Xenopus tropicalis: one gene and its partners. The protein of the gene in region 2 purifies or fractionates together with the protein of the main gene of each other region. This does not show direct contact. Links are inferred from orthologs where the notes say so. Each region holds a gene or a part of one and is shown on either strand. Other genes may lie near its edges. The genes, in order: gemin5, snrpb2 and snrpd1.

What was found.
Region 1: the proteins of snrpb2 (region 2) and gemin5 purify together in Homo sapiens (co-immunoprecipitation; 3 studies listed by BioGRID and IntAct, with this or other methods). This does not show direct contact. The link is inferred for Xenopus tropicalis from reciprocal best matches to the Homo sapiens genes SNRPB2 and GEMIN5.
Region 3: the proteins of snrpb2 (region 2) and snrpd1 purify together in Homo sapiens (affinity purification with mass spectrometry; 3 studies listed by BioGRID and IntAct, with this or other methods). This does not show direct contact. The link is inferred for Xenopus tropicalis from reciprocal best matches to the Homo sapiens genes SNRPB2 and SNRPD1.

Annotation. Positions count from the first base shown.
Region 1 is NC_030679.2:17,528,545-17,534,922, reverse strand, and holds part of gemin5 (gem-associated protein 5), read left to right. Parts: intron 1-988; coding exon 989-1,084; intron 1,085-1,377; coding exon 1,378-1,515; intron 1,516-1,776; coding exon 1,777-1,924; intron 1,925-2,609; coding exon 2,610-2,729; intron 2,730-3,064; coding exon 3,065-3,275; intron 3,276-3,565; coding exon 3,566-3,826; intron 3,827-4,031; coding exon 4,032-4,194; intron 4,195-6,378. UniProt on the Homo sapiens protein: The SMN complex catalyzes the assembly of small nuclear ribonucleoproteins (snRNPs), the building blocks of the spliceosome, and thereby plays an important role in the splicing of cellular pre-mRNAs.
Region 2 is NC_030681.2:29,851,235-29,857,712, forward strand, and holds the start of snrpb2 (U2 small nuclear ribonucleoprotein B''), read left to right. Parts: upstream 1-2,377; 5' UTR 2,378-2,416; intron 2,417-2,418; exon of another isoform or gene 2,419-2,668; intron 2,669-4,297; 5' UTR 4,298-4,316; coding exon 4,317-4,380; intron 4,381-5,133; coding exon 5,134-5,306; intron 5,307-5,986; coding exon 5,987-6,127; intron 6,128-6,478. UniProt on the Homo sapiens protein: Involved in pre-mRNA splicing as component of the spliceosome. Associated with sn-RNP U2, where it contributes to the binding of stem loop IV of U2 snRNA.
Region 3 is NC_030682.2:65,064,663-65,071,140, forward strand, and holds the end of snrpd1 (small nuclear ribonucleoprotein Sm D1), read right to left. Parts: intron 4,299-6,478; coding exon 4,107-4,298; intron 2,150-4,106; coding exon 2,073-2,149; 3' UTR 1,454-2,072; downstream 1-1,453. UniProt on the Homo sapiens protein: Plays a role in pre-mRNA splicing as a core component of the spliceosomal U1, U2, U4 and U5 small nuclear ribonucleoproteins (snRNPs), the building blocks of the spliceosome.

The DNA of each region.
Region 1 (6,378 bases), on a different chromosome or scaffold from region 2:
CATCTGCCCCATGCTTAAAGGGGTTGTTCAGCTTTGAGTTAACATTTAGTAAAATTCTGAGACAATTTCCAATTGGCCTTCATTTTTTATTATTTGAGGTTTTTTATAATGATTTTACTTTTTGCTTGGCAGCTCTCCAATTTGAATTTTCAGCAGCTATCTGGTTGCTAGGGTCCAAATTACCTTAGCAAACAGGGAGTTGTTTTAATGAGAGACTGGAATATGAATAGGTGAGGGTCTCATTTGAAAGATAAGTAATAAAAAAGAACAATAAAATTGTGGCTTCACAGAGGAAGAAGCCAAATAATTGAAAAACTATAACAAATGAGTAATGAAGACCGTTTTGAAATGCTGAAGAGCCAGTTGGTAGATATGTAGGGCTATCTTTGCAATATCACCTTTGCACCTGGTGGAAATTTCTCTGGTTAAATATGTTATATTTTAGAGAGATGTTATATACTGAATCCTCCACAAAATAGTTGGTCTTTTATCCAATGTGGTGCATTCCTAGATTATTTCACCTTTAAAACTCTTGGTGTCCACCATTTTTCATATTCTATTAGCTATAGGCACTCATTTGTTGAATGGAAAAAGAGATTGGAGAAGTAGAGGGGGGGTGGTGCATGGAGGAAGCAGGTTGGGATTTGAGTTTGGAAAAGGAAGAGGAGAGGGCACGGGATAAGTAAAGTACACAGAATTGGGGAATGAGCATGAAGGAGGTAGAGAGGCCCGAAGATTGGAGAGGAAGTGTTGAGGTCATATTATAATGAAGAACCACTCTTTACAAAGGTGTCGGATTCCCCAGGGTTGTGTCCATCACCAATAAAGTTGTTGTAGAATGAGTATTTAAACCCTATTGGTGTGTGACACAACCTGAATGGAGCCTAAATAATCCTTAACCATAGCATTTGCATGACATTTTTTGATCCATTGTACATCCAACTTCTGTTGTTGTCCATAACGTGAACCCCTCTATCTTCCTTCACAGATTTGGAAGAGAAATCTCATTTTCACTCGGAGGACACAATGCACCTGGGACTATACAGTGACCGAGCAGCCCTTTATCACCTTATGGAGGAGGAGGGTTTGTTCAATTTTCATATCTTACACCGCTGCACCCTTACTTATATATAAGCAAATGGGTCATATTGCTGTGGACAGTCCTGGACTACATAACTGGTCCAGTTACTATCAATATCAGATGGCAGCAACCAGCAAACCAAATACAAAGTATAAGGGATAAAGTGCTGCCTGTTATAAAATAAGAAGTGAGTAAGGAATTCATAAATGTGTTAGGGCACAAGGCTATAGGTGCTTGCAGTGTTTTGCTTTATTCCTGTTTCTTGCACTGATTATGGCTTCCTGTTTGGTTTGCAGGTAAGGCTCATCTGGAGAATGGGCACCCTGAGCTCCAGCATCAAATTATGCTTTGGAAAGGGGATCTGAAGGGGACTTTGCAACTGGCTGCAGAGAGGGGTGAACTGACTGATCAGCTGGTGGCGCTGTCTCCCGTAGGTGAGTGAAGGACCTCATATACAAACAGCAGAGAACAAGATGCTATAAAACAGAGCATTCCAACATTTCCTCTTGGTGCCTGTAGTGTTGCTGTCAAGAATCTAGGGGCCTGTGTTTTCCAAACCTTGCCCCAGATCCAAAAAGAACTGTTTACTGCTTCCTTTCCTAGTGGTGGTCCTGGGGGTATGCAGTTGTGGAATAGATGCCTGACTTAACTCTGATGCCCTTATGTAAAAATTGTCCTCTCCTCTCCCTCTTTAGCCGGATACAAGGTCTGGCTATGGACCGTTGAAGCCTTTGTGAAACAGCTGTGCTTTCATGAGCAGTACGTGAAAGCCGCTTCCCACCTGCTGTCCATTAATAAAGTGTATGAAGCCGTGGAACTGCTCAAGGGGAACCACCTCTACAGGTCTGAACATCAGTGTCAGGGAAAGACAAAAGTACATGTCCCAGCATGCTCACTCAGTATGGTTTGGAGGTTAGCGGGCAGCATTGGAAAACAAGCACGAGTAATTGTTACATGGGGAAGTGTTACTGTTACTTACCTTATGAGTGGCCATTAAATTACTAGTCTGCCTAATAAGTTGGACAATAAGTCAGGCCCTCAGAACATGGTCTAGGCATCTTCTAAATAATAATTAAACCAGCCAGGCTGCTTCAGATCTTTACATAGTAGCTCATGTTGAAAAAAAGTCAAAATTTAACCTTATGGTTTAAAGCTAATGCTTTATTTCCTGATAGCCAGCATGTCTTTATCTGTCCTTTATTTTATCACAAACAACCTGTTTCATGTAAAAGCCCATATGTAAGGATCCCACACCTTGTGTCTCAACCCTTTCTACTTGTAGATTGTAAGCTCTTTTGGGCAGGGCTCTCTTCACCTCTTGTATCGGTTATTGATTGCTTTATATGTTACTCTGTATGTCCAATGTATGAAACCCACTTATTGTACAGCGCTGCAGAATATGTTGGCGCTTTATAAATGTTAATAATAATAATGGGGGATGTCACATTATTATGGGCACACATGTTTTGTGCAGATAATTAACTTGCAAGGTGTTAGCTGCCTCACCATATTGTGGTTTAAATTTTAGAGAAGCCATTGCAGTGGCGAAGGCTCGGCTACTCCCCGATGATTCAGTCCTGCGGGAGCTGTACACTAGCTGGGCAGCAGTCCTTGAGCAGGACGGGCACTATTCCATGGCTGCTAAGTGGTAAGTGTGGGAAAGCATTGCAGAAAGTTCTGGTTAAGGCTAAACCACACAGGTTATTCATTCTGCCACCATAACCCTATTTCATGGTGTTAGCCCTTGTTAGGAGCTAGCCACAGCTGCGCACATTCCATTGCTGGGGCAGAGCCCCACAGAGAGGTATGTCAGTGTATTGCAGTGTTTTAGCACTAATGTAATGATGTCTATCAAGTAGAACGCTACGTGCAGCATTTCCCAGAGGGTGTCGTCTGTGACCCTAATCCTCTTGCCAGCCATTGGATCGGTTGGTGGAAAAGTGCAGTGATTTGTTTGTATTTTTAAAATGTGTTTTATTCCAGTTATTTAGGGTCCTCCTCTCCCTATGATGCTGCCAAGGTTCTAGCTAAGAAGGGGGATTTGCTATCCCTGAGCGCTGCTGCTGAACTTGCATTAGTTGCAGGAGAAAAAGACCTTGCTGCTTCTTTTGCCATCCGCTGCGCCCAGGAACTGTTCACTGCAAAGAATTTTTTAGCAGCCCAGGAAGCACTACGACAGCACAACAGTCTGCTGGTAAGAAATCCATGCACAAAGGATAGACAAGCTGTATCTTACTCATGTGACCTATAGAGCTTATAACGTCTCTCCATGGTTTATATTAGTGTTGCACCGAATCGAAAATCAAATGGTTGGACTCATTGGAATCCTGAATCAATTTTTGTATTTTGTGCATTGCAAATTTGCAGTTATACATAAACAAACATATGTTGCCATATTTGTTTACTTTATCTCATACTAATCCCTTGTCTTCATTTGCATGCCTAGCAGAAATGTATTTCCCATGCATAGTTTATCCTTCCCAGGGGCAGAGACTGCTGTTTTGTACCAGTGAGCTGCTGTACATGCATTTGAAGGAGAAGATGCCCATAGATTGGAAGACACAAAGCAATCCATGTTTCCATGAACAGACAGGCAGTAGTAATGGGGAACCTTTTATGACCAAGCTTACAAGTCTATGGCAGAGTTTGTGTGAAGTAAACAGCCCAGAGCAATACAAAGATGCCTTGCAACAACTGTCTGCCTCAGAGATTCCACAGACCACTGTCAATACTGGCCCTAAACAGGTAACCCAGTCTTTTTTTTGTAGATATAGAAATTTGCTGTCAGTGGTAAATGGAATGTCCACCCAATAAGAATTAAGAAAGAACTGGTCTAACAAAGATAGTTGCAAATTGTGCCTTTAAAATTATAATGGTATTGTTATTATTATTATATATGATTGTGTATATATGTTTTACTTCCTGTGTTTTACTGTTCTCAAACCCACAGCTGCTGCTGCACCTTTCCCATGAGGTCACAATATTGTCTCTGAATTGTCAGCTTAAAAACTGGAAAGAGGCTGTTCCATCTCTCCTCCATATCCTGTTCCGCTGTCAGCAGGCAGGCCATTTCACCCTGATGCAAGGGATAGCCAGCCTGCTGCTTCCTAACGGTGAGTATAGAAATGCATTGTAAGATAGGCTTGTATTACTTGCTGCTACCAATAGTGACCACTTTTCATTGGATGTGAGCATTGGGTTTAAATGTACATGTGTATATTTCCCCTTGTTATTTTAGTTATTTCAAGGAATAGGGAGAAGTGTTTTGAGAAAAGAAGCATGTAGCACCTAGGCACCCCTCTACCTGACCCATAACTTGTGTTTCATTCACATATGCAAGGTGCAGCCCACATAGGGGTGCTGTCTTTACTCACTCTCCCAGAACGTGAAAAGGGAAGGGCCTGTCATACATTAAATACTGGGTCTTTGCTAAAGGGGATGTTCACCTTCAGACAATAGTACGAATTTGAAAAGCCCCTGTCATAAAAAAAACATCCTTATTATTTTAAAAGTTTTGAAGCTACAGACCATATAAGCTGTGGCTCAGCATTGCTAAAACTATGTTTGCTCTGCTCTTTGCTCTATCTTCGGAAGGGGTCGCCCGCACCACACTTGCAAGCTGCCCAAACAGGAAGCACACACTGAACTGGTTACTGTGCATGCCTTCCCTCTCCTGCTTCATTTGCATTTGATTGGTTAAATCTTGCCTGCCAATGGTATCAAAGATATTCAAATGAAAGGCATGTGCATAAATTCTGATACATAATTTAGTACAGGTCCAGACCATGTGCGAAAAGAGTGCATGGGGTTGGTGGCACCTGGGGCATTCATTGGGGGTATGTTGGGGATATTCTGTGGAGTCGGTATGGCGTAGCTTCCTATATTTCTAGTGCATCTATATCTTTTTCTGATGTATTGCTGTCTATTCTTACCAAGTGTGGCAGTTGAATTTATCCAGATTCTCAATAAGTTGCTGTGGTGAATATGTAACCACAGTTTGAACCTCAATAAGTTTCTGACTGCACAGCGAGTGTGGGAGCCGCTATGCGAGTGTTGCATGTATCCAAGTGTTGCATGTCAATTAAGTGTTTAGCAGGCGTTAAAAACAAAAAGACATTTAAAACTTAAAAGGCACTATACAAGGGATTGCACTCAGGAGACTGTAAGTACCCAGTGGCAATATGAGTTGCAGTATGATTGCTGGTGTTACTCAGTGTGCATCTTGTCGCATGTATGTGGTCCTGGAGCAGCAGTTCCATGCAGCATTTACTTGTGAGAGATGCAGGTGGGTTTTCCTCTTGGAATCTGAGGTGCAGAATCTAAGGGGGGAACTGGCAGCACTGAGGGCAGCTGCAAACATGGGGGAGAACAGGAGGCTCACTGAGCAACCACTGGCAGGGGCTGGTGTAGTGGGGGGTGGATAAGGGACAGTGGAGGTTAATGAGGGAGACAAATTTGTAACAGTTAAGAGGGGCAGTAGGGGAGACAAGGGTAGGGGGGCTGGTTCACAGCTTGTACAAACCAGCAGATTTGCCGCTTTAGGTGAAGATGCTGGGGAAGGCAGCTCTGAGCTAGCATGTATGGAGCAGGCTGACTCTCAGAGCACCCTGGGAGCCGGCACCTCTAATACAGGTGGGGGGAATAGTGCTAGGAAGGGAAGGCAGGCTATAGTTGTAGGGGATTCAATTATTAGAAAGGTGTATAGGGTAATTTGTCGCAAAGACCCTACATGCCGAACTGTGTGTTGCTTGCCTGGTGCTAGGGTGCGGCATGTGGTGGAACGAGTGGACAAATTGTTGGGAGGGGCTGGGGAAGACCCGGCGGTCTTGGTACACATAGGTACCAATGACAAAGTTAGAGGAGGGGGGGAAATCCTCAAGAACGATTTTAAAAAGCTAGGTGCGAAGTTGAGGGCGAGGACTTCCAAGGTAATTTTCTCAGAGATATTACCTGTGCCACGAGCAACGTTAAGAAGGCAGCGGGAGCTTAGGGAGATAAATGGGGGAGGAGACTTGCTTCGGGATACTGATAATGGCAGGGAGGCCTATAAGTTGCTTACACGTCATTCTCACGCCGGCACCAGTATTAAATGTATGTTTACCAATGCAAGGAGTCTGACTGGTAAAATGGGAGAGCTGGAGGTACTGGCGTTGGAGCGGAAATATGACGTGATTGGTGTTGCTTGGTTGAATGAGTCTCATGACTGGGCAGTTAATATTGGGGGTTATACATTGTTTCGGAGGGACAGGGGCAATAGAAAAGGAGGAGGAGTGTGTCTGTTCATTAAGCAAGAATTA
Region 2 (6,478 bases):
AAAATTGTAAGCTTACAAAGCAACAGATTTTAGCTGCCTGGGTCAGTAACCCCTATTTGAAAGCTGGAAAGACTTAGAAGAGCAAGACGAATAATTGGAAAACAATAAAAAATAACTAATGAAGACAAATTGCAAAGCTGCTAGGAATAGGACATTTTGTAACATATTTAAAGATAGCTTGAAAATAAACCACACCTTTACCCACAAATCCTTGCATGTTTGATCATTGATGAAGAGACTTGTGCAGAGCGAGTATTACAGAAGTGTGAGGCATTGCGGGAATAAAGTATTGGCTGGAGGAGATCTGACTCTTGCTGCATTATTTTAGTGGTACAAAATTGTATATGTAGTCAGGATTAGCAATGCAAAATATATATATGTATAGGTATAGATACTGCTTTTAACAGCAACTACATTTACAAATATTGTAACTGAGTTCTCAATGATGGTGCCCCTGGCCACCCTCCTAACCAGTAACAATACCCAATAAACATAGTAATATGCTGCTGAGATGTATAATACAACATTATTGTACCAAGTTCAGGTGGTGCATGGTATTTTCCCCTTCTCAATAACCTGAGTAAGGGAAGGGGGGGGAAGGACACAACAAAATGTTGGGCTTCACCAAGTGTGTGCAAAAACGGTTGTATTAGAGATCTCAGCAGCATGTGGTCTTCTTTATATCATTTATCAGGCAGAAAACCTGCTGTGAGGACCCTGAATCTAGATGACCGCTGTGGGAGATACAAACACATACTGGAGATTGCAGAACTACAAAATGCAATGGGTGTTAAAGTGAAAACTGATTGGGTGTAGTTAAAAAGCGCAAAGGAATTTTAATGTGCAACATTTGTTATCTCTCTATAGGTCAGGCCCTCCAGCCTTTTTTAAATTGCAAAATCTATACTGGCACCCCCAGTGGTGTAAATATATAGGAAGCAGACCCCACAGTTGCAGGGGTGGGTCCAGGAGACAAGGGCCCCAGACCACATGGTCTACTTTCTCTTTAGGTGTAAGGAGATCCCCACTCACTGGCTGCTCTCCTACGTGAGAGTGAGTGGTGGAGAGTGGGGGATGTATGCAGGTGAGTGGGGGATCAGTATGGGGTTAAAGTGTGGACTAGGCCCCTCCAAAGTGCTGTGTAGTTACACTGTATATATTTTTAGAGCTAGAGTAGACTCTAAAATACAGTAGATATTGGTAAAAGAATTGTCACTTGTATTGGGGTCAAAAAAGAACTAAAGCTTAACAAAGATGTGGGGTGCAAATGCTGATAAAAGCCATAATACAATGCTGATAAGTTGTTAAACCAGATTTTTATTACATGAAAGGAATACAGTTTGCTCCAGAATTTAATAATAAACCCTGTAGCATCAGCTTCAATAACAGGAGAACCTTATTTTCTGCTTTCTGATTTCTGACAACCCCTAAGCTTTGCTTCTCAACAGCTGCCCAGAGCCCACTGAGTATGTGCAATGTCACTGACACATCTAACAAAATATTGTGGTTGCATTACGAAAGTCACAAAATTTTCGGATCCGAACGTTCATAAATGGCGTGAAAACCTTTCTGGCTTTGTAACCTTCAATGCATGATTTTGGGAAGCCTTCCATAAGACTCAATGGCACTCTGCAGCTCCAACCTGGCCAAAAGATAGTCACGATACCAAAGGTTGAATGAATCCCGAAATGGTTGTAGTCTTTGCGAAAAATACGAAGTTAGTGCAAATCACAAAAAAGTCGTGGAATGTGAGCGAAATTATTGTGGACATTCCGAAATGTTCTATAGAAAAATGCTATTTTTTTTTCTAAAAAAATGAATGGGCCCCTATATGATAACATGAAATAAGGACTCAAAAAGGCATGGAGTGGATCATTATCATGGGGTTGGTTAACAGCTCTGGTGTGCTTGTTTTGTGCACCTCTTCTCAAGATGTAATATAAAGGACATTTACCCAGCTGCAGTAACCTAGAGAGCAAGCAATACATGTTTGATTTTATACAGGTGAAATGGTGCCATAAGTTACTATAGATGAGGTAAAATTTGTACTATTGTTGCTTCCCAAATGAATTTAAAACAGCCCTGACCCCCACGTATTGCCCTAACGTTCCCTGCCATAATTTAATAATGAATACCGCCGTTCCACTGTATTACACAGGTGCTTAAAATTTTGGCGGAAAGACAAAAACAGTTGTTTATTATATGACACTCTAGTCGCAACCTGGGAATGTACAAAACGTCAAAGAAAATAACTTTATGATCAATTATGCGAAGGCGGTTTTGCCCTTACGAAAGATGGCCGAAGTGACCTCGGAGCCGTGACGTACGTCTCTTTCCTGTTCTAATGCGCGTTTGCTGGAAATCAACGTGCGACGCCAGCTTGGAGCCGTAAGGCGCACGGAAGCGTGTGTGAGCGGTAAGGAAGGAGCTTGTATGGGTGATTGCCGGGCTTGTTTGTCATTGTACGAGGGTTTCTTTTGGTAATAGTTCTATACGTTCCGCTCCTTCGCTTGGTGAGAAGCTGGCAGCGGGTAATGAGCAACAACTTCCCCAGCAGCCACGTCCAACTCCTGCCCGTTCTGTTGCTATTGGAATAAAACGCGCCTGTAGTGCGGGTTTATATGTAGCTGTAACTCGGTTAAGGGGCAACTTCGTGTGGTAATTAATGGTATTGATTGATTTGTAACTGCAATCAGTTTCCATACATTGCAACCAATCAATAGAGCTGTCCCTGATCTGTGTGCGACTGGGGGTCGCCAGTGTATGGCTGGGAAAGAGCTGCACTAAAGCTTATAATTGTGTATTATACACACACTAATATACACAGGGGCAGGCTAGTTTGCCTGTATATTGTTGGGTATGGGAGAAAAGTGCAGTGACTAAATCATAATACTACAGGTATGGGATCCATTATCCAGAAAGTTCTGAATTACGGAAAGGCCATCTCACTTAGACCCCATTATAAGCAAATCATTTTAATTTTATAAAATGATTTCCTTTTTCTCTGTAATAATAAAACAGTACCTTGTACTTGATCCCAACTAAGATATAATTACCCCTTATTGGGGCAGAACAGCCCTATTGGGTTTATTTAATGGTTAAATGATTCCCTTTTCTCTGTAATAATAAAACAGTACCTGTACTTGATCCCAACTAAGATATAATTAATCCTTATTGGAGGCAAAAAATCTTATTGGGTTTATTCAATATTAAAATGACTTTTAACAGAGTTAAGTGATGGAGATCCAAATTACGGAAATATCCCTTATCCAGAAAACCCCAGGTCCCGAGCATTCTGGATAACAGGTCCCATACCTGTACTACTAAATCCAGCAGTTACATGTTTTTAATAATGGGATGTTATTTTGTAGTAGTCTGTATATTTCATATTTATTGAAAAATATGCCGGGCTATGCCTTATAGTCTTATCTGTGTTGCTGAAATTGTAGGCTATAAAAAGAAATTCAATTTAAAAGCATGCATTATACTATTACAGGCATGGGACCCCTGGGCTTTTCCAGATAAGGGGTCTTTATATAATTTGGATCTCCATGCCTTAAGTCTACTAAAAAAATAATTTAGTTGGGAACAAGTACAAGGTACTGTTTTATTACAACAGAGAACAATTTAGTATATTTTCAAATAGTGAATTATTTTAATAAACTGGATAATGGGTTTCCAGATAACAGATCTCATACCTGTACAAGCATGTATTTGGTTTTATGTATAGATTTATGTAGGTTGAATTCAGTTGGAATTTCATGGCACATGTTATATACAATAATAATATTCTGATCTGAAAGTGGGTCTGACAGATGTGGTTCGCAGGCTTGTCTAATGTGCAATATCATGGCGGGTTAGTTTTGGTAATATTACAGTGTGCCTGGCTTTTGAAAATTATTGCTTTACTCTAGGGAAGTGATTCCCAATGAGTGGCTCATAAGCAACATGTTGCTCCCAATGGCCCCAAAGCAGGTGCTTATTTTTGAATTCCTGGCTTGGAGTTTTGGTTGCATAAAAACCAGATGTACTGCCCAACAGAGTCCCTTTAGGCTGCCAGTCCACGTAAGGAATACCAAAGAGGTAATAACAGCCTTTTTTTGGCACCAGAAGGAATTTTTTTTTTTTTTTCATGCTTGTGTTGTTCCCCAGCTCTTTTTACATTTGGATGTGGCTCACTGGTAAAAATGTGTGTGTGGCACAGTAGTCCATCTCCAAGGAGAAAAGAACCTTGAGTAATACTGTACTTTTTTTCTATATCTAAGGTCCTTTTTTTTTTTTTTAACATCTCTTTCAGTATTTAGAATATACAAGCCATGGATATTCGGCCAAATCACACTGTCTACATCAACAACCTCTGTGATAAAGTAAAAAAACCGGGTAAGTGTGAGGAGCGTTTAAATGTTGAATATTATACACTCTCAGTCTACACTCTATACAGTCTTTCCTGGCAGAGTACACTTTACATCTAGACAGCAGCATTGGTATTGCAACTCCTTATGCTGTTATCTGTGAAGGCATTTTTTACTCTCCTATATCCTTTGTATTCCCCTAAATAGTAAAAACTGCAGAGAAATGAAGAAAAACAAACAAACTTAAATATCCTTCAAGCTTTAAAAGTGTAAAACTAACTTAAAAAAAAATCTGCTCAGAAGTCTACTTTTTCCATTTCATATACTACTATTCTTCTGCTATTTATTATGCTTCTTGCCCTAGATATTATTGCTGTTTATTGATCTAGTGCTCACCAGTGCTTAGCATTTGATGGCAGCAAGTAGGTAAAAAGGCCATCAGTAACGATTTCTTATCATTTTAGATGTTTTTTTTTTATTGAGGATGGTGCCTGCCTAGGTGCTTCAGTTAAAATGTGCACCACTGCAATCAGCAAGCAATACGAAAGGAGAGAGTGTCGGCAACATGTGCAATCACGGCCGCACCCAGTCATTTGTATAATCACTAATATGCACAGAAAAGCTTCTTGTGCAGAATATCCCATGGCACTGGTTTTAGTAATAAATGTAATAACTAATACTGATATTCTATTTTCACCTTATCAAAATCCGTGCAAGAGATTTAACCATACATGTTTTTATACTTATACTGTGAAGTTTTTTTTTTTTTTTTTCTTTTCAGAACTAAAGCGATCATTGTATGCGCTATTCTCCCAGTTTGGCCATGTTGTAGACATTGTGGCATTAAAGACCATGAAAATGAGAGGACAAGCGTTTGTAATCTTCAAAGAGCTGAGTTCTGCTACAAATGCTCTGCGGCAGTTGCAGGGTTTCCCTTTTTATAATAAACCAATGGTAAGTTATTCCTCATCCAGGAATTTTTATGATTTACCTCACTCTGTATAGAAAACTTTATATAACTGTTCTAAACTTACTGAAAGATGTATATATATTTTTTTTTATAATTAAGCATAAAACTGTAGTTTAACTAGGGACAAATGAAGGTTTGGATAATAGAAATTGCTCCACTCTGCCAGCCCTTGCACAGTAAACCTGCTCAGAATAACTAATTGAGACAAAATAACAGATATATGGCTCAAATTCCAACCTTCTGGTTCTTTTCTTGGGGTACACAATTAAAGGTTTTATTGCCTGTTGCCATAGGCCAGCCAAAGTCTAGAGTCCCTTGGAATTGTGTGGAGTGGTTGTTGGTAGAAACACCTTAATTTAAATTGATTCCAAATATTTACTGTTAGACTCTGCTGTTTGATTATTAAAGAACTGCAGAAGTGAATTAAATTAGAATTTAGCCCTTAAGCATTTTAGTGACATGTTTATATCTGCTTTAGCTAGAAGTGATCTCAACGCTAATTTAATGTAATAGCAATTTTAAGTTTCCACCAGGAGCGATACCTACAGGTTTTGCACTGTAATAAGCAATGACACTTTTGCCAATGATCCTTGGCGGAAAGTGATTCTCAGAGATTACGTTTCCAGGCTGTTTGCTCTAATAATGCTTTTATTCTTGTTTCTAGCGCATCCAGTATGCAAAGAGCGACTCTGATGTGATACTAAAGATGAAAGGTACATTTGCTGATAAAGAGAAGAAAAAAGAGAAGAAGAAAGCCAAAGCACAAGAACAGGCAGCTAATGCTGCAAATAAAAAGCCTGCTCTGGTAAGATACAAAGTAATGCTTTCTCTGGACTATTTAAGGAAAGGTCAGCAAAATATCTAGAAATTTTTAGGTACAAGAACGCCCCTTTCCTTTTATCTGGGCTTATTTCTGTTGACTGAGTAGGCTGCCAAGGGCTGCATTGTGCTGTAAATGCAGGCTCAGTGAGCCCTCTCTGTAAGCAGCGCACATATAAGGTGTCTTAAGGTGGCCATACACGGACCGATTTTTTACTTACAAACGACCGATTCCCGAACGATCCGATGCTATCGTTAAGTTATCGTATAGTTGGTGGTGTACGAACGATCGTCGGCCCACTAAACGAGCCGACATTATCGTCCCCAAAATCGATCG
Region 3 (6,478 bases), on a different chromosome or scaffold from region 2:
TGTTCTGTGCTGGACAGATAGGGATTAGACAGGGAAAGGAGGAGCAGGTGTGGAGTAACAATAGCGAAATGGGTCTGCCTAGTTAGCTATCCAGCCCACCTATAGCGACATCTACAGCCCGCACCCATCAACACCCACGGTGCATCAAACACCTTTCTGCCCAAAACTAAAAGTGTGCGCCTGACGCGCGTTTCGCACAGTATATCCGAGCTTAGGCCTATGATTAATATACCAGAGGGTGGTACAGAGGTTTATTTGCTGGTCACTTTCTCCATGCTTCCTATTGAAACAATAAGGAAAACTCAGTTTACTAAATGGGACAGGACTTTGCACTAGATTACTGATTTGAGCTGCCATTTTCAACTTCTGTGTTAGAATGCATCAGAAAGTAGGGTGAGAGGTATGTTATTTTGAGGGCTGTTTAGAGTCTTTTGAGAGATTTTTTTATGTTGAATATACTACATTCTAAAAATGAACCATATCCATGTCCAAGAACCCCGCTCAGAGCCAAAAAGCTTTTCCTCTTCAAATAGCAAATTTATTTAACAAACTGTTTTAGAGGCATCATCTCCAGCCCAGTGGCTTAACCAACTTGCCCTATGGGCTAATGTAGAAAAGCTGCAGTTATGGCTAACAATTCCCATTTATGCAATAGAGGCTTCACTGATGAAATATACTGCCAGAGAAAGAATTGTTACTCTAGAAATACCACTCTGAATTTGACCAACCCACACTGGGACTTGGCACAAATTGCAATGGGCTTTTTAAATTCCTTCTTAGCATTTGGGCTGTATAATCAGGTTTAGCTTTGTCTGGGGTAGGACTATCAGAAGCAGAGTTAGCTGAAAGTAATGAACATCAAAAAGCTGCTAATGACAGAACAAGAACAGGTATAAGTGCAGGGCTTACCAGGAGAGAAAGGAATTTAAACATGTGGGGCCACATACACGTATTTCTGATCAAAAGCATCTGTTAGATAGGAAGTTGCATTCCTGGCAACCAAGAAGGGGAAACAACACTTAAATCCATGTTCGGCATGTAACCTAAGATGAAAACCTGAGCACTGCCTGAACTATGGGACAGAAAATAAAAAGCTTCTTGTGGTAGGGGCAGTGGCTTTACATCATTCCTGACTTTAACTTGGCACAATAGTATCAGGATTGGTAATAAGGCTTTAGTTGCTGCTGACAGCAGCCAGACAAATTACACTGTGTGTAATTGTCCTAATGGAAACTACCTGGCCATGTAGTACAGGTTGTTATTAACATTTTCTACCACATATTTTTGGATAAGAGCAGCACGGACGGCTTCAAGCTTGGGTCTGCCAGCTTAAATACACACAGAACTGCCCAACAAGCACTAAGTATTCTTTAACATACAATTAAAAAGAACAAAAAAAAACATGCTCCAACATGTTTTAACATCTTGGGATAAAAAAAAAATCAAACATCTATGAAAAACCTTTTTTTTTTATTAGGCTTTCAAATGCAACTTATATGCATTAAAAACAAAGACACAACCAACTTTGTTACAAAAAGAACTGAATGCCAATATTCAATATCAATTACCTAGTTGCAGAACCCAGATTTTAACCGATTTGTGAATTTAAATAGCAACCTGAAAAATATTTGTATTTGACCAAAGCATTGAAGGGAATGCAAGAAGAAAGTTGTTACTGGCACCTGTCCAATGCACTGAATGGACTGTTACTAATGTAAAGGAACAGTGAAGAATATAACATCACAAGGATTCCTATAACACTAATGCTGGTCATATACAAATGTGTGGCAGGGATGCAGTGTACATAACAGGAATCATTTACTAACACTAAGCACCAGTGCAGTAACCAACAGTAACCAATTAAAATGTATTTTCTACATCCAGTAGATCAAAATGTATTCTATATGGTTACTGTACCAAGCTAAAGCACCCAGCATTAGTAAATATGCCTCAATAAGTAGTTAACTAGTACAGTGTACAAGTAATATCATGAAGTAGTATTTGTGTGCATTCAGGTATGAAAAAAAAAAACTGTACAAAAACATCCTCTAATGGCGAAGTTTTCACATATATTATCTTCTTGGGCCTCCTCTACCTCTTCCTCGCCCTCGGCCTCTACCACGGCCTCTCCCTCTTCCTCTGCCAGCAACTGTTTAGAAACAGAAATCAGGTGAGGATCAGTAAAGTAAAAACAAACAAAAAAAAAAAACAAAACACATACATACATTTGCTAAAACAGAAATATCAAGTAACAGTTTCCAACAGATCTTCGAATTTCGGATGTATATTATGGCATTATATTGTTTTGCAAAATAGTTCCAACCATATAAAATAATGAAGTAGATATAAAGGAAATATACCTTCATAGCAAATCCCATAATGTACACACACTACCTGCACACTGAAACACTACTTCTGCCTAATGCAGTTTTGTATGCCATTGTATCTAATGAATATACCAATCTAACCACTTCAGGGAGTACATCAAACACCTTCCTAGCTCTTACTGTTGGAAATTAATACTTCTATATTTATGCTTACTGCATTAAAAGCAGTGGATGATATATTATGGGATGAAGCAATGCTAACTACTTCAAAACATTATTTAAAATGTAAAAATAGTTGATAAAATGCTCTGCCTTTAACACCTTAAGATACTTTGGACTGGCTTTTAAAGACAGCCTAATCTCTTCGTTCCTGTCTCCCACCCCTATGCAATGAACAGAGGAAGGGGAATGAGTGGAGCCTGACACACAAATGCCCCAACAGCCGACATGTGGAAACCACTTGTGAGTGTTTTACTTGCAATGATGCAAAAGTAAATGAATGAGAAGGCAATTTCAGGGGATTTGTTGCTGTGGTAACGCAGATTTACTACAGGCAACAAATTTCTGTGTGCCAGTACCCTTAGCACTGCATTTCACAACTAACAATCACATTCTAGCCATTGTTAATCAACGGAATTACAAGTTTGTTTTAATGTTTAGAGGCCATCTCCACACAGGCAATCCTACTATTGTTTCTACAGTTTTACCTAAAAAGCCCATGCAACCCGATTAATAAATACCAACATACTGCAGGCTGTACAGCTAATATTTACAGATTTGAGCTGCCCTTTGACATAGTTCACCATTCTGGGTTCCTCTGGCAGGATAGAGGTTTCTATTATGTAATCCCATCTAACATGATCACCTTACTGAATAAATATTACATACAATTTGCAGTCATCACACGCAGCTCAACATGGCTTAAAGGAGAAGGAAAGGCTGAGTCACCTGGGGATGCCAAAATGTAAGGCACCCCCAAGTGACTTTAAATTGCTTACCTTTTAGCCTGGGCTGGTGCCCCTGTTAGGAGAAGACCGCACCAGCCTGGGGTACCTGCGAGCGTCTCCCCTTCCTGCTTCTGGCGCTTGCGCAGTAGAGTGGAAAGCCAAACTTAAACAAAAAAGCCAGCCCAGGGATTTTGCCGACAGAAGGAAGCGCTCGCTGCAGGTACCCCAGCTTGGTGCGGTTTTCTCCTAACAGGGGCACCAGCCCGGGGTAAAAGGTAAGTGACTTAACCTTTCCTTCTCCTTTAATTTATAAAAAGTGACCCAGATTGACAGTTGGTGCTTTTGGGAACCGTCTGTTTGGATAGGAAACTGGCTACACAACTGCGTTAGAAAGTGTAGTTTTTAATGCATTCTCTACTTGGGTTCTTAACAGGGTGCTGCAGGGTTCTGTTTTGGGTCCACGTTTATTTAATTTGTTTATTACTGACTTGGTGGTGGGAATTGTACACTGTAAGTAGTGTATTGGTGTTTTCAGATGAAAAAACTATTCTGGGCATCTTTGAAACAGGATCAGGACAAACTGGCAACCTAACAGGTTTTATTTAAACAAAAGTAATACAATAATTCAGGTTGAAAAAGTGACTCATATCCACAGAGTTCAACCTTTTGCTCCGAATTAAACCTGCCTAACTGCCCGTTGTATAGATGTGTGTCCTTTTAACCAAAATTAATATGTTATGTTTTGGCACCAGTAACGGTTTTGGTGTTCCAATAACAACTTTTTTTTTTTTTATATACACAATAGAACAAAAAATATGAAAACTATACTTACCAGCCTCCCTCTTCTTTGACTTAACTTTTGGCTCCACATCAACAAGTAACGTGTCAAGAGGCAAACTGTCTGGTAGAATGAAGTAACGAATATTATTTCCTCGAATACTTAATGTTTCCAATTGAACAGGCTCTCTATTCTTCACTGTCATTTTAACGGCTTTCAAATGCGTATTCATGCTCACATCTACTCCTAAAAGAAACAAAAAAGTAAAAAAAAATGAAAATCAAGGCGTCATCATTGTTTACAACACAACTTCATATGACAGAATAAAACAAAGTCTTAAAAAAAAAAAAATATCTTTAAAATTCAGGGATTAAATAATGAGCATTATTTACTTTTACCTTACTAAAGGGATTGGCATATGGGTCAATTCTGCCCATTTTGTTGTTAAAGTATTTGCCAGCACTTTGTATGGGGTTATGTTCAAGGTTTAAAAATGAATGCTTAGTTTCTTCTCAGATACTATGGAACTGCACAATCTTATTGGTCAGAGGGTCAAGCATATGATGTTGGGGTAAATGGATGGCAGACTAATGCTCAGCAACAATAGCAAAGGTGCTTTGTCCTTTGCTATAATTCTATGATACCATTGTGTGGCACAAGCTAATTAAACTACTCGGGAGGACACTATAATAAAACAATATTAATCTAGGGTCATACATGTAGAGATTCAATCAATTTAACCCAAAACCACACTCCTCCTATTTGATTAACCGGATTGGGCCACTCCATATTACTGAAGGTAAGATGGAAGGATTGTAATTTTGGGGTAAATGGATGGCAAATTTTAAAAGCTCAGGGGCTCTGAAAATGTACAGGTTTGTCCTTTTGATTAATTTTATGATACCAAGTACTAGCAAAATCGGATTGGTAGGTGTGTGACTTAGGGGCAAACAAAAGGGGGTAGTAAAACCATTTATCTAAATTTGTTTTATGACTGATATTTTGAGACAAAATTATTAGCGTGGGCTAACAGAGCCTTTATATAATAATTGTTTTTTTTTTTTTTTTTTTATAGCCCCCTACAGTGCTAGGCTGCCAGCACTGGGAGGAAGGTCCTGGTTCAGGCAGCCATGTTGTGGCACTCACATGTGCATAACAAGTGAGTGCCACAAATCGCTGCTTATGCATATGTGTGTGATGTAGGTGGGCAAGTCGCATCCGCAGCTCCTACATTACATGCATGCACATAATAAGTGAGCGGGAGTCTCCCGCATAATGCGCATGCATGCTTAATTAACATGGCCGCCGCACTGGGAGCTCCCTCCTGGTGGGGGGCGGCCTAGTGCAGACAGACTTTAAAAAAAACCCAAAAACTACTGCATCTCCCAACCAGAGTGTGGGCTCTATTAGCCTGCAACTTTGGTGGGGAAGCAATTTTAGCGCGATCGGTGCCCTTTAAGGTAAACGTATGACAAATTAAAAGAACATCTTTGAAAAAGGTTTTGTTGCATTTGGTTGTACCCTATGGTATGATAAAATCTGACAGGTCCCCCTGCCCACAACAGACTGGCCCATTCTATTTGACCAAAATTTTGGTAACTAAAAATAGCTGTTGACTTTCTCCCGGATGAGATGTCTCTGTCAAGTTGTTGTCCCATGTCCAAACAAATTTGTGGTAACATGAAAGAACACAACAGAATAGGTTGGAGATGTGAATAGGCATTGCAAGCAGGGGCAGAATATTTTGTAAACTAAGGGCTGTGGCAGACGGGGAGATTAGTCGCCACTCGACAAATCTCCCCGAAATGCCATCCCACCGGCTAGAATGTAATTCCCGGTGGGACGGCATACATGGCGCAGAAATTGCCGAAGTTCCTTTGCAACTTCGGCAAATCGCCCTGCCGCATATGCCACTGCATCGGCGATTTACATTCTAGTCGGTGGGATGGCATTTTGGGGAGATTAGGTGCCCCTGGTTTAAAAATTAGCACTGAGTACCATAAACTGGGAAGTTGTCCAATGGCTGAACACAACAGTAATCACAGATTAGTATCACTGTTATTTGCAGTTATTGGTGCTTTACTAGGGCATCCAACAAAATTTAAAGGAGGCATATAGGATTAACAAAAATATTCTCTTAGTTCCCTGTTTCAAATGAGGGAGGGGGGCGTGTCCTAACGGTCCCTGCCATAAACACAGTAGGAGGGGGGGTTGCCAATCACAGCCCTGCACTCACACAAAGGAAGGCTTCAGCTCCCTATCAGGTTTGCCTAGATCAGGGATCCCCAACCTTTTTTTATCCGTGAGTCACATTCAAATATAAGAAGACTTGGGGAGCAAAACAGGCATAATACATGTTCCTTTGGTTACTAAATAAGGACTGTTATTGGCTATTTGGTAACCCCTATATGGACTGAAAAACCTAC